Linked DNA regions of Drosophila melanogaster. The gene in region 1 interacts genetically with each later gene. Each region holds a gene or a part of one and is shown in the gene's direction. Other genes may lie near its edges.

The links.
Region 2: of Tm2 (region 1) and DAAM, changing one enhances a phenotype caused by changing the other (phenotypic enhancement), as found in Drosophila melanogaster (one study listed by BioGRID).

What each region holds. Positions count from the first base shown.
Region 1 is NT_033777.3:15,308,250-15,315,758, forward strand, and holds Tm2 (tropomyosin 2), read left to right. Parts: upstream 1-1,995; 5' UTR 1,996-2,050; intron 2,051-2,427; exon of another isoform or gene 2,428-2,824; intron 2,825-3,785; exon of another isoform or gene 3,786-3,945; intron 3,946-4,126; exon of another isoform or gene 4,127-4,150; 5' UTR 4,151-4,203; coding exon 4,204-4,797; intron 4,798-4,859; coding exon 4,860-5,037; intron 5,038-5,341; coding exon 5,342-5,424; 3' UTR 5,425-5,771; intron 5,772-6,278; coding exon of another isoform or gene 6,279-6,361; 3' UTR 6,362-6,948; downstream 6,949-7,509. UniProt on the Drosophila melanogaster protein: Tropomyosin, in association with the troponin complex, plays a central role in the calcium dependent regulation of muscle contraction. May also regulate motor systems required to maintain nuclear integrity and apico-basal polarity during embryogenesis.
Region 2 is NC_004354.4:1,305,362-1,310,652, reverse strand, and holds the start of DAAM (dishevelled associated activator of morphogenesis), read left to right. Parts: upstream 1-2,180; 5' UTR 2,181-2,529; coding exon 2,530-2,577; intron 2,578-5,291.

The sequences.
Region 1 (7,509 bases):
CTTTCTTACATAAGAGCAAGAGTTTTACAATAAAGTAAAAAATACATTTTTAGCAATTACTATTGAAATTTATATGGAGCCTAAAGTTAAAACGAGTTGTGTAACGAAAAGAAACGCTGCCATTTTCCTTGAAACTAAAATTCCAGCTCGAAAAAGTATGTGTAATATTTTGAATACAAAACCCCAGAAAGCCCACCACTCAATATCGTTAATCAGCATCTTCAAATAAAAAACTCAGTTACGCTTAAGCCAGAGTCAATTTTTCTCAACTTTCTGTTGCTTGTGTGTTTTTATGGCAGTTCGCGAAGTGTATCTACAAAATTTCTATGGCCTTTGTATATGTTTAAACAACAAGAATAGGAGATATATTATTAGAATATATAAACGAAGACATATAAATTAAATTTACACATTTGTCATAGCTTTTGTAATTCTATGAAGCGTGCAAAACAAATATAACAATGTATGTATTTTTCTTTTTCAACTCAATATTTTTACGATCAATAAACTGAAATCATTCTTTTGCATATAAAAAATTTCATGGATTTTTTATTTAAACGGTGGGTTGCATTAGTTAAATAATAAAAATATGCACTGATCATGAATCGAATATAAAGGACATAAAGTGTCCTGTTGGTTTCAATCTGCCGGAATATTGTGTATCCTTATTAAAAGTTAATATTGAAATCAAAATCAAATCATGCTTATATCCCAAAACTTATAGGATGTTTTTATTTGTGTTGGAATAACCATATTTGTCACATGTGTGATATTTTAACTCAACATTAAATATTCTTTGGAGCTACATATATAAAAAAAGTTTAAAATAAGCTTAAAGAAGAAGGGTTTTGAAAAATCGAATTTGAAAACTGAATACGTTTGCTCGCCAATTAGTTGTTTTTGAACAGTTTTGAAAATATGAAGTTTCAAACATTTTCCTAAATCAAGAAGAGCTATAAATCAACTAAAATTTGAAGTTATAAAAGTCTATAAATAAAGTGCACAATATTATTGACTTATGTAGGTTTGGCTTTTAAGTAAAATTTATTGCTGAACGAGAATAAAAAGATCGGGAGTACATATAAGTGTAATCCAGAGACTATGAGACATTTGGTGGAATCTTCTTGATATATAATAGTATTAAAGAAGATGTTACGTCACAGAAATATTGAAAGAAGAAGAAAATTGAACTGGATTTTGAGATGAATTGCTAAATGGATTTAGCGAGGTCGGACATATAAATAAAACCCACCATATATATTTATCTTTTAAATATACCTATATAAAAATATACATATATCTATAGAATTTCTTAGTTTAGAGTTTTGATAACAATTTTTCCATATCGTTACTTAATTGGTTATTAAAATAAATAAATTATAGATTTTATTCTTCAGTTATATAGTAAGTTAAGTGGTTTTGTTTTAGCAAAAAATCGAACGGGGACAATTAACACACAAGAAAATCGGATCAATTGCCTTGCATTCGAGACTTTCGAAAGCAAAAGAACGGCAGGAAAACGCTGGCCGATCAAAATTCCAAATATTTCTCAATATTTTTTTACCGAGCGAAAATAGATTTTCATCTTGTTGGACTTTTGCTCTTGCTGCTTGTGGCTATTTTTGGCCGTGTATCTGACGGATACACGCACACACACAGACAGCGAGAGTGCTGTGAGTAAAATATAAATTGAATTTAGATTTAAGAAGCAGAAAGAAAAGCGCATAAATTTCACGAGAATGCAGCCCAAAAGAGAGAGCATCGTATGAAGCAGCTTTTGGGGGAAATTTCGAGGGAAATTTTCGAGATCGCCGAGCAAAGTTGCGAAAGCGCCATTCCACATATACATTTATTAATGGGAAATTTTTGAGGCGAGAAATTATTCAATACCGCGTTGGTGTGTGCCCTCAGTGTGTGTGAGTTTTTCCGATTTTCCGAGTGGCAGTGTGCGTGTGCGTTGGATCTTGGGGTCGCTTTCTGGGCTAAGCAACTTGGTCAGCATCAGTGTTCTCGGGGTTTCGACAGCGTATAGTGTGTTTGAAACGCTAAGGTTGGTCACGCCAGGATTTTCACCCGACAAGAATTAACTCAAAATAAATATAATTAAATCGCTCGCCTTTGCTGCTAACCAAATTGGTATTTTCAACTGGATTTCGAGTGGATAACAAAATTGTGATAAGTGCATGGCATTCAAAATTATAAATTTTGAATTTTCCCCAAACGGGAAAAAAAAGGAAAACCTTGTTAAACTTAAATAAAATGTGCATATGTATATGTGTCAATTAGCCTGGATATAAAGTTCTACAAAAAGTTAAATGAGTGATCCAAATGTAATGGAAGTGAAAATTGCTATAACTAAAAAAATGAATATCTCTAAAAAACTTAAAATGAACGATCTAAACTACTTGAAAATGGAGATCTTATGATCATTTTTCGGATATTTTCAAAATTCGCTTATAAGGAATTTTGTAACTAAATCTGACGGCACCAATACCATCCAATAAATATCTGTGTGTGTGTGAGAGAATTTTTTTTTGCACACACACACATGAGCTTCATTCGGAAAGCTCTACACGAATGGGACACATATACATATGCACCTTACACACTTATGGCACGCACAATTTTCACACACACAATCACACTCGACCGATAAAGTTTTCCTCGAAGAAAATTCTTTAAAATTAACTGCAGACAGACACCTGCCTGTCACACACACACAGACATACGCATTTATTTTTAACTCTGCCTGAAATTTATACGAAAAAGCTTTTCCGTCTAGCTTTCTGTGATCTCAGAAAACGAAGGCAGTCGAGAACTATAGGTATTTATCCTTGAGATTGTTTTCGAGAGAGATATTTTGGAAAATATTAGAGACGTAGACGATTCCCAGATGCGGATACATATGGTATCTATCTGGGAATATATATATTCAAGGCATAGCCACCCACACAGAATTGTAGATTTCAGAGCGAATATTTCTAGCCATTCGTGAATGCGTCCGAAGGCCGCAAAATTTGCCATCTTTAAGATACATATTCGAACTGATTGAAAGCCCAAGTACCTTTGGCAATCACCAAAAATTTTAATGATGTGAAAACTAAGTAGCTATTTAACATATTATAAGTTATTTAAAGTCTTTAGAAAGAAATCCTTTTTACCTCATAAATCACATATTAAACATTGCTTATGTTTTTTTGGGTACAAAACACACATGAGTATCGCAAGACCTCCAAAAGATCAGCAACTACAACATAAATGACTTTGCCCCACTTTGGGTGGTAGCAACATAGATACACGAATTCGAATACGAATACGCCCACACACCAAATGACCCCAAAGAATTGAATACTTTTCAAATTGCAATCGGTGGCGAGCTATGTACATATATATGTGGGGTATTTCGAAATAATAGGGGGAAACTCTAGAATTACATTTAGCACACAATGTCCAAAAAAGCATTTCTCCTATGCGTGTGTGTGCGAGTGGACTGGATATTTTTTTCTCACATGCAAAAGCATATAAAGTTTATTTTTAACCCCACCGAATCGTGCAGCAAATAAACATATAAACATATAGCTCACCGACGGATCCGGATTCGGATTTTGAGTGGGCGTTTTGAAAATGGAAAATGAAAATTACGTGAGATCTTTTGAGAATGCTCGGCGTAGCCGCCAAACAAAATGTGTTTACATTTAATTCTCAAATTTATTGCACGAACACATATGCACAGCATATAGATATATACAATTTAATTATACCTATGGATAACCTATAGAATGCGCCTGGATCGTTTAAATAAACCGATTTTGTCTTGCAGCGGAAACATAAAAATTCTAGAAGTCACAGTAAAGAAACAAAAATGTATAGTCAAAAGAAAAATCCAAGTTCAAAAAATCTGTAATTTATGAAAGGAAATAAACATTGGAATATCTTAGGACCAACGTATATATGTTATAATATATTATTAAGCGGTTCAAAGCTACAATTAGATTTAAATAAAAAAGTCATACATTTTATTAATTATATAATATTATTATTATTATATTATAGTATATATAATATTCTATGCCTTATGAAAATTGCTCCTTAAAAATTGCACATTAAGGATTCAGTTATTCAGCTTACTCATTTGTATTATTTGGCACAGTGCTTTTTTCCAGTTTTCTTCCCTTGTAAGTCAAAAACAAAAACACAAACACCATGGACGCCATCAAGAAGAAGATGCAAGCGATGAAGCTTGAGAAGGATAACGCCATTGACAAGGCCGACACCTGCGAGAACCAAGCCAAGGATGCCAACTCCCGCGCCGACAAACTGAACGAGGAGGTGCGCGATCTGGAGAAGAAGTTCGTCCAGGTGGAGATCGATCTGGTTACCGCCAAGGAGCAGCTGGAGAAGGCCAACACCGAGCTGGAGGAGAAGGAGAAACTCCTGACCGCCACCGAGTCCGAGGTGGCCACCCAGAACCGCAAGGTGCAACAGATTGAGGAGGATCTGGAGAAGTCCGAGGAGCGCTCGACCACCGCCCAACAGAAGCTGCTGGAGGCCACCCAGTCGGCCGATGAGAACAACCGCATGTGCAAGGTGCTGGAGAACCGTTCCCAGCAGGATGAGGAGCGCATGGACCAGCTGACCAACCAGTTGAAGGAGGCCCGCATGCTGGCTGAGGATGCCGATACCAAGTCCGACGAGGTCTCCCGCAAGCTGGCCTTCGTTGAAGACGAGCTGGAGGTGGCTGAGGATCGTGTCCGCTCCGGCGAGTCCAAGATCATGGAGCTGGAGGAGGAGCTGAAGGTGGGTCCTCAAGAGAAATCCTTCTGTTCTCAAACCACTATTCATGGTGTATTCCCAACTAGGTTGTCGGCAACTCCCTGAAGTCCCTGGAGGTGTCCGAGGAGAAGGCCAACCAGCGCGTGGAGGAGTTCAAGCGCGAGATGAAGACCCTGTCCATCAAGTTGAAGGAGGCCGAGCAGCGCGCCGAGCACGCCGAGAAGCAAGTGAAGCGCCTGCAGAAGGAGGTCGACAGGCTAGAGGGTATGTATCCAACTTCCTACGCCCCTGGCACATTCACTCAGCCATTTTCCGCGGAGGTATCTCTCCACGGGACACCGGAGATGCTGTCCACCGGAAGTGATCCGCCTCGAACGGCCGGATCGCTGGCTTCAACTAATGCTCGCATTGTATTTATCGCCATAAGGATATTAATAATTGTACTTAGTACTCTGCTTTCATTAATTGACGTTCCACATTCACACATCTCGCTCGCTCGCCCTTTTTTTTGAATATCTCTCTATATATATATTTGTATAAATGAACAACAAACAAATGCTTTTTGCAGACCGTCTCTTCAATGAGAAGGAAAAATACAAAGCAATCTGCGACGATTTGGACCAGACATTTGCCGAACTTACTGGATATTAAAAAAGATCACAAACAGAACTCACACAATGCCCTTGCCTCCCCCCCCCCCCAACCGCCCCTTGCCCAACTCCCCCAAAAAAAGGAACACTCTCAGTACATCCCGAATCCCACACAGTTTATTATATATATATATATATATTCTATATTATATTTTTGGAACGATTCCCCCAACAGTTTCAGTGTATTTACCACCCAGCCCAACACGCCACACTTATCTATACACTGTAAATAATCTGTTTAGTCCCGCTTGAATGTGGCCACACCCACACGACCAGTTCCCTACGCCAGTACACTGTAAAAATAAGTTCAGATCAAGCCAAACCAAGTTGCAACTGTAGTTAATACAGGTGAATTTATCAATGTAAATATTGTTGTTTGTATGCCAGATTCTTACCCGTTGTGATGTGGCATGACCTCTTGACCCGTCTCGCCTTCGCACTCTATCTCAGTCTATGTCTCTATGTCTCTCTCTCTCTCTCTCTCTCTATCGTCTCGTCGATCATCAGTGGCTTTCGTTCGAGCCAATTTCGCCCAGGCCTTGGTCGAGGGATTCTCTCAAGGATTGCTGCAACGATTGGTTGGATAGATCATGTCCACATCCCGTAGAGCACCCCATAGATAGTCCTGTCCCCCACCTCCCCTGAAAACCCACGCACAGAACCGCTGACTAACCCAAAAGATCAAAAGATAGAAACGCCTGCCAGAACAGCGCGCCACTAATCCTAATCAATAACTCCATAAACTTGGTACACATGGTGTAAAGTTTGAGTGTTTTTCGTTTCAATTCCAATGTTAAAAAACCATATTTTTGAATATTTTCTAACGCATTTCCAACCACCATTTGCACTCCGCAGACGAGTTGGGCATCAACAAGGACAGGTACAAGTCCCTGGCCGACGAGATGGACTCCACATTCGCCGAATTGGCTGGCTACTAAGTTGGCCAACAGTCCCATTATACCAAATCCACACCAGCAGCGGAGGAAGATGGAGACGACGACGAGATGGAGAACTCTACTAATTGTAAACGAATATCTCAAATTGATTTGGCCAACACGAAGATCGGCGGCCGCAGATACCAAGAACAACAACCATTGTGTATGCAATTCTTTATAAATCTATATATTTCATAATAAATAAATAACAACAACAAACAGATCAACAACAGCAACAAAGCCAACGAGCATAGAAAGCAAATGGAAATTCTTTTGTTTTATAAAAAATAAAATTATCTAAAGTCAAAAGTAGCAGAATGTATAAAGTAAACAAAACGAAAACAAGAACACGAATTTTGTATTTTTAAAATCAATGTTTAAAAATATTAAGAAGCGCTTGCAGTCAGGCAATAAGAGCGAGAGAGCTAGAGAGAGTGCCCAGGAAAGAGACGGGGCTAAATTTAAAATTTTAAGATCGCGCTGCCTGCTTTACTTTCAGTTTATATCTTACAATTACACCACAAACAAACAAAAAAACACCCACAAAAAAAGTATAAAAAAATTTATAAAAACTTTGCTAAAAAAAAATTATATGTTTGATGTTTGCTTTCAATGATGCACAAAACCGAATTTCTTTGCCCTTCAGCGAATCGCGCTGAAGTTCACTACATTTTTGGCGGATATGCAAAGTAGTCTTCAGTTTTTTCCACCGATTTCTCATACTCTTGGGAAACCCCATGGATGCTGGGCCGAAATAACCAAGTCCGAAGTGCGTCACCACTTCATCGGAGATGGATCACGATCCGCAAATCGAGGCCTTCATTGCAACATCTTTAGCATCCGCGCTAATTGTCAAAGCAATGAATAATGAAAGTTCAGTTATCTGTATATATATGGCATATATACACATCCTCAGGGTGATTTCCAGATATGAATTGTAGATGTGGGCAGCTCGCCGTTTTGACCATCAATAAGTGAGTTAAGGCCGCGTTCGACATGTGGGTCTGTTGCTCTCTTGGCCAAATGGACTTTCTTGTAAACTGAACTCGAATTGAATTTCCATTTCTCCTCGCTCTTCTCGCGACGTTGGCCATAAAATAGTTATTAAATCGTTAAGTGGTGTGTTAAATTACCCACTTAAAGCGCCAGTC
Region 2 (5,291 bases), on another chromosome or scaffold:
GGCGAGCAAACACTTGTGTTTGACTCATTCATGTCAGGTGCCAACAGGCGGATAAATTGTTTGTGTATTTCTCCATTTCGCTGTGATTTCTGCCCGGCAAGAATATTAAAAGGCCGTACTTTCATGCTTTCTAGTGAAATTGAAAACTCATTTAAACAGCCGAAAATAAACAAATTGAAGACGACGCGGCCGTGGGCAAAATTTCACTTTCAACCAATGTTTTTAAACACCTTCTCTGTACTTTAGGATTTCGTCAGCTCAAGCTCAAAAATGATATGGATATGATTTTACAAGATTTCGGGCGGAGGCAGACTTGATGAAGTAGGAGCATCTGCGATTAGCTGGAAATGGAAAAGGGGCTGGGCAGAGGTTGTGCCTGGAGATAGGGGCGAACCAAATCAGATTAGCCAGGGAAATGAAGTGGGTTCTTTGAGTGATTACGAACTGCCTCATGCTCACGTTTTCTTGGCCCATCGACAAAAAGCTGCTAATGGGAAATTATGTCTGGCTGCATCACATAATGGCCAAGTAATTGCGATCGAAGCGTGGTGGCTTTCGGATGAGTTGGCACAACACCCATAAAAAGCCCTTCGAGTAGCAAATGGGAGATGGGAAATGGGAGAGTCGATTCGATTTGGCTCGGGCTGTGAGGATTGCATTAATCAATAGGGAGACTACCACTCCGACTACCTATGACTATGACGGATTCCTACTAATTTGCTTCTCGCCGTTCTCCTCTTTTCCACTTGCAGCCAAAGACTAATCCCAACAACGAAGCCAATTAGCAACAACAGGTGAGTAAGAAGTCATTGAAGACGGTTCGCTGCCGAGGAGGCAGTTGGTAAATGTTCGATAGGTCTAGAAAATCGGAAAATGAGTGCGCTTTACAGCCCATAAATATAAGTATGATACATCATTGAATAGTCGCTCTTCTATTTTCAACGATCAAAATTTAGACGTGGTAGAAGATGGTTACACCATCAAATTGGTTTTAAAATAATAATAGCATTTGCCTCTTCAACTGTTAAGGGTATCAAAAAGCTAAAAAAAAAAGGCGCGAATATCCAGCCAAAACAGCTAAAGAACGGATGGCCACCTCATGCCGTCGACTCCAAATTGAATGACCGTCAGCATTCGGTATTTGGCCAATGATCGTCGGTATAAGACAACAACATTGGCTCTAATAAGGACCGTTACATAAAAAAAAGAGATGATGAGAATCGTTGCTGAAAATCGGGAAGTGGAGATAGAGGGGCAGAGGCGGTGTTTTTACACGGCGGTATTGCCATGATATTTTATTTTTTGCATGACACTTGCAAAATCGAAACAAAAGAGAGGGAATAACAAACTTTACTTGTGACGACCTTAAATTGTTTTTGACTTTGACTTCGACTCTGGCGGCTTTGAGCCCACAATTGCCAAAGTTACCGGTGAACATGGCTATGTGCATGTTGCCGAACAACTTATCGAGCGGACTAACAATTGTCTGTTGTGTGCGGCTGATTTGCCAGAGCTAATTAAGTTGTTCGATAGACAGTTCGGCTGTCCAATTGTTTCTTGGCTTGGTTTCATGCTTCCAACTCCTTTACATTGGTCGGCTAGTTGTCTCCTTTCGAAGTTAAACTATCACTGGTTGGATTGCATTTGGGAATGAATCGCAGGTGGTATTCCAGTATCGTGGACCTTAGGCTCCGCTTGGTCTTCTAAATGCTCGTAGCAGTAAGCTCTTCGTTTCACACCCATAATTACCTCGATATCTCTTCAAGTGTCTCAGCCCTTGTGATTTCATAAATACCCCAGGAATGCACCCCGCACGCACATGGAAATGCAGCACCTTCCACCACCCACTATCCACCAAGGCGGCCCCAATCCGCGAGCCAAGGCGAGCGGTGTGCGGGCGGGAGTGCGACTGAGACTGGGACACAGTGGGGTCTGCGGCATTAGGCACAGAATAGGCTCAGAGCCCGCTTTCTGCCGTCGACCGGTTTCGCGTTCGCGTTGGAGCCCGCTCCGGCTCTCGGGCTCTCTGCTGGCACCTGTCGCTGCCACTCTGTCTTGGCCAACTTCTTCGGCTTGCCGCGGCGACGTGCTCGTGCTCGTCGTGTTGCTTTTGGCCAAGTCGCCGCTGCCGTGGGCACGTCTTGAGCGGCGAGCGTTCAATGCGCTGCCAGCCGTCGATAAGAACGCACGCGAGCGGGTCAAGTCATCCGGCAGACAGAGACCGGCTATGGAAAGCAAAACCTAAGGCTATAGGCTATATAGAAGTCGAACTGATTAAATCGGAAATTGGAAATACGCGCGCGCGTGTGCTTTTCGCAAAGCGAACGAACACTGTTTGAATACACTTTGTATGTCAATTTAAAATTTTTTTTTTCTTCGGATTAATTTTTTTTTGCATCAAGTGAATTGGCAATGAGCAGTGCGTGATGTGCGAATTGGTGCTGCATCCCAGTCCGCGGCAGAAGAGACTTGCAACGCTATAGTTATAGTTTTTGAATTCGAATTCCAGTGCTACAGAGCAGTATCATTATGTCGAGCATGAATCAAATGAGTGTCCTCATGGATAAGATCAACACGGTGAGTGCCAAGGGATTCTCTGGGCTTTTGGGGGCGTTAGTGGGTCTCTGGGTCGATCCACTTAAACCTGCCAAAGAGTGGACCTTTACACGAATTCGGTTCGGTTGTTTCGTTAAATTGAATCGCTTTTTGTGCAACCCAGTAAAATGGTGTGAAAACTATTTGCTACACTGTCGCCTCGAATACTTTGTACATTTAATACATCTATTGTTATATTCATAAACTATTTTGTTTGGTTAGGAAGTCTGTCTAGCTTCTGTGCTTTTACTTCGCAACCCCTTTTGCAATTTCGAAGAAAAGTTATTGGCTGAAGGGTAAGTCCCTCTTAACTGCTTTGGTTTCGTCACGCAGTTCCCTGCTGCACCTCTAAGGTTTTCCACCTGCTGTCTGTGAGCCTCGTATCGAGGGGGGGGGGCGAAGTAGATGAGGGGCAGGGAAAAGGGGGAATAGGCAGCGAGAGTCCGCTCTCACTTGACCAACAATTTAACGTCATTTGCATTCAAAAGTGTCGCCTAGACGCTCATAAATAAAATGAAATTGAAATTTTTGCGCCTCACTTTTCCCAGTCCCCCTTCTCCGATCGCCGATCCCCGATCCCCGATGCTCGGATGCCCGATGTCCGATGCCCGGGTACTCGACGTATTTTGATTGTGTGGAAATGAAAGTGAAATGCGCTCCAGCGAAATTAAGTGCCCATTGGCCGCCATCCCGCAATCCACCAATTCCCCCGCTCACTTCGCCCCTGATTTAAGTGCGGCTGAATGAGCTTCAATTGAATGAGCTGACGAAATGCCGCGCGCCGCATAACAAACATAAAACAAAAATCAAACGAAAAACAAACAAGTGGCCGACGTCCAATTCGGCAAATTATATGGCGGGATGGGATCGGTATTGGAGGTACCGAAAGTACTCGAGGTGCACTGCAGCCAGGCGTCTGCTGTTTGTGCAACAATAATTAATTAGTAATAATTTTCGGTTGCCTTCTTGTGTGCGAGTGTAGAAATGCCGATGGGGGGTAAGAGTTGGGCAATCTGAACGGTCGAGCCTCTGCTGGATCCTCTCAAGACCCATCCCATGCTATCCCATTCTCGCACTCTCGACCAGCACTTATTGGTTGCGATGAATGAAGCAGCTCCTGGCTTGGATTCGGCATGAAATTAGAAGACTGCAACTGCAATAGCTTTATAGCAACCCAGCTGACTGAAGTCCATCGAAATGTATGTATGGCTTTGGAAAGGAAAAAGAACAAATACTGCACAGCATAGCAATGGCATTTATCGCATATTTTACACCAACTCAACTGACACAACACCTCTATGCTGGTTGGGAAATGTCATAATACCACTTGTCTGTCCTACGCTCTACTTGTGTGGGTTTTCAATGACTTGTAGCTCCACTTCGGGCTGCGCTGAGTTTACTTCCTGGCGACACACTGACGCCTAGAGGGAGTTGGGCAACGGGAAGGGGCAGGGAATGGGGGCTATCATAATTCGCGATTGGAGGGATTATCCCCAACGAATGACCAATAATTAACGGCAAGTTCCGTTGTGACGTCAACTACCGCAATCTGCGCTAGAATTCCATTGAGCTTTCTCCACGAAATGCGCAGGTTGCATAATCTGCATCTGCATCAGCATCTGCATCTCGGCCAACTGTTTGCTTCTGCATCTGCAACTGCAACTGCCGCCAAACCCGCTCGCGAACTGGTTCGTCTGGCCTGTGGCCGCCTTATTTATGACGCAAGCCGCTGGCGGATTCTAGGCTCTAGGCTAGCTAGGCCAGACTGACATTGGCCTAGCCCACGGAGTAGTTCGAGGCGATACGGGGGCATTCAGCAGACGGACTCGATTCTCACGAGCACTGGAGCTGGAATGTGGGCCAAGTCATTGGATGGATAGTTAAATTATCTCAACCGGTGGCTTCACACTTGCTCACCTCCAATTACCTGCTATTTATATGTGGCACTTTCAGCTTGAGGCTGCAAGGCCTGCTAGTATTTCTTGGGCTATGCCAAAGTCTGCTACAAAAAAAAAAATATATCTATTGCATTATAGTGTATTTATAGTGTATGAAATAATAATATGGCATAGTCCGTAATCCGAACCCTAGACAAATCCAGACAGACCGCCAAGGTCTCCGGCCACCCGTCTCCTCGATTGTGGTGACCGCATCACAGAAAGTTGATTCCCGATAACGGATTGATATCACTACCTAGACACGGGAAGCTCTGACCCATATAGCCATATAACCCTATAGCAATTGGGCATAGGCCTGGCCGCACACGAACACTTTATACATTTTCGGAGCCCATATACGGAAGCCGTGCAATGCTAATGAATCGCTGCGAAAGCAACCGAAACCAGGCACCACCAGCACATGACCAAAACTAGACTGGGAAAAGTGTGTAATAATTTCCTGTCTCAGCCTGATTTGCATGTGAAGTCCCCACTCCAGCTCGATTTAATCCACTTGGACTTGGATTCGGATTCGGAGACCGCTGCTCTCCAATCCAATCCAATCCAATCCAATGCAATTCACTCTACTCCACTCCAGCTGGCCGTCTTGTTTGACTTACTTCATCATTCCTAATGGCAATAGATACCAAAGTATCTGCATGTAATGCGATCCATTTGCGGGCCACCTACGCTCCGAAACTTTCCAGAGTTTGTCAGAGATTTGAATTGAAATTTATGCGGACATGAATTAGCCGCCGC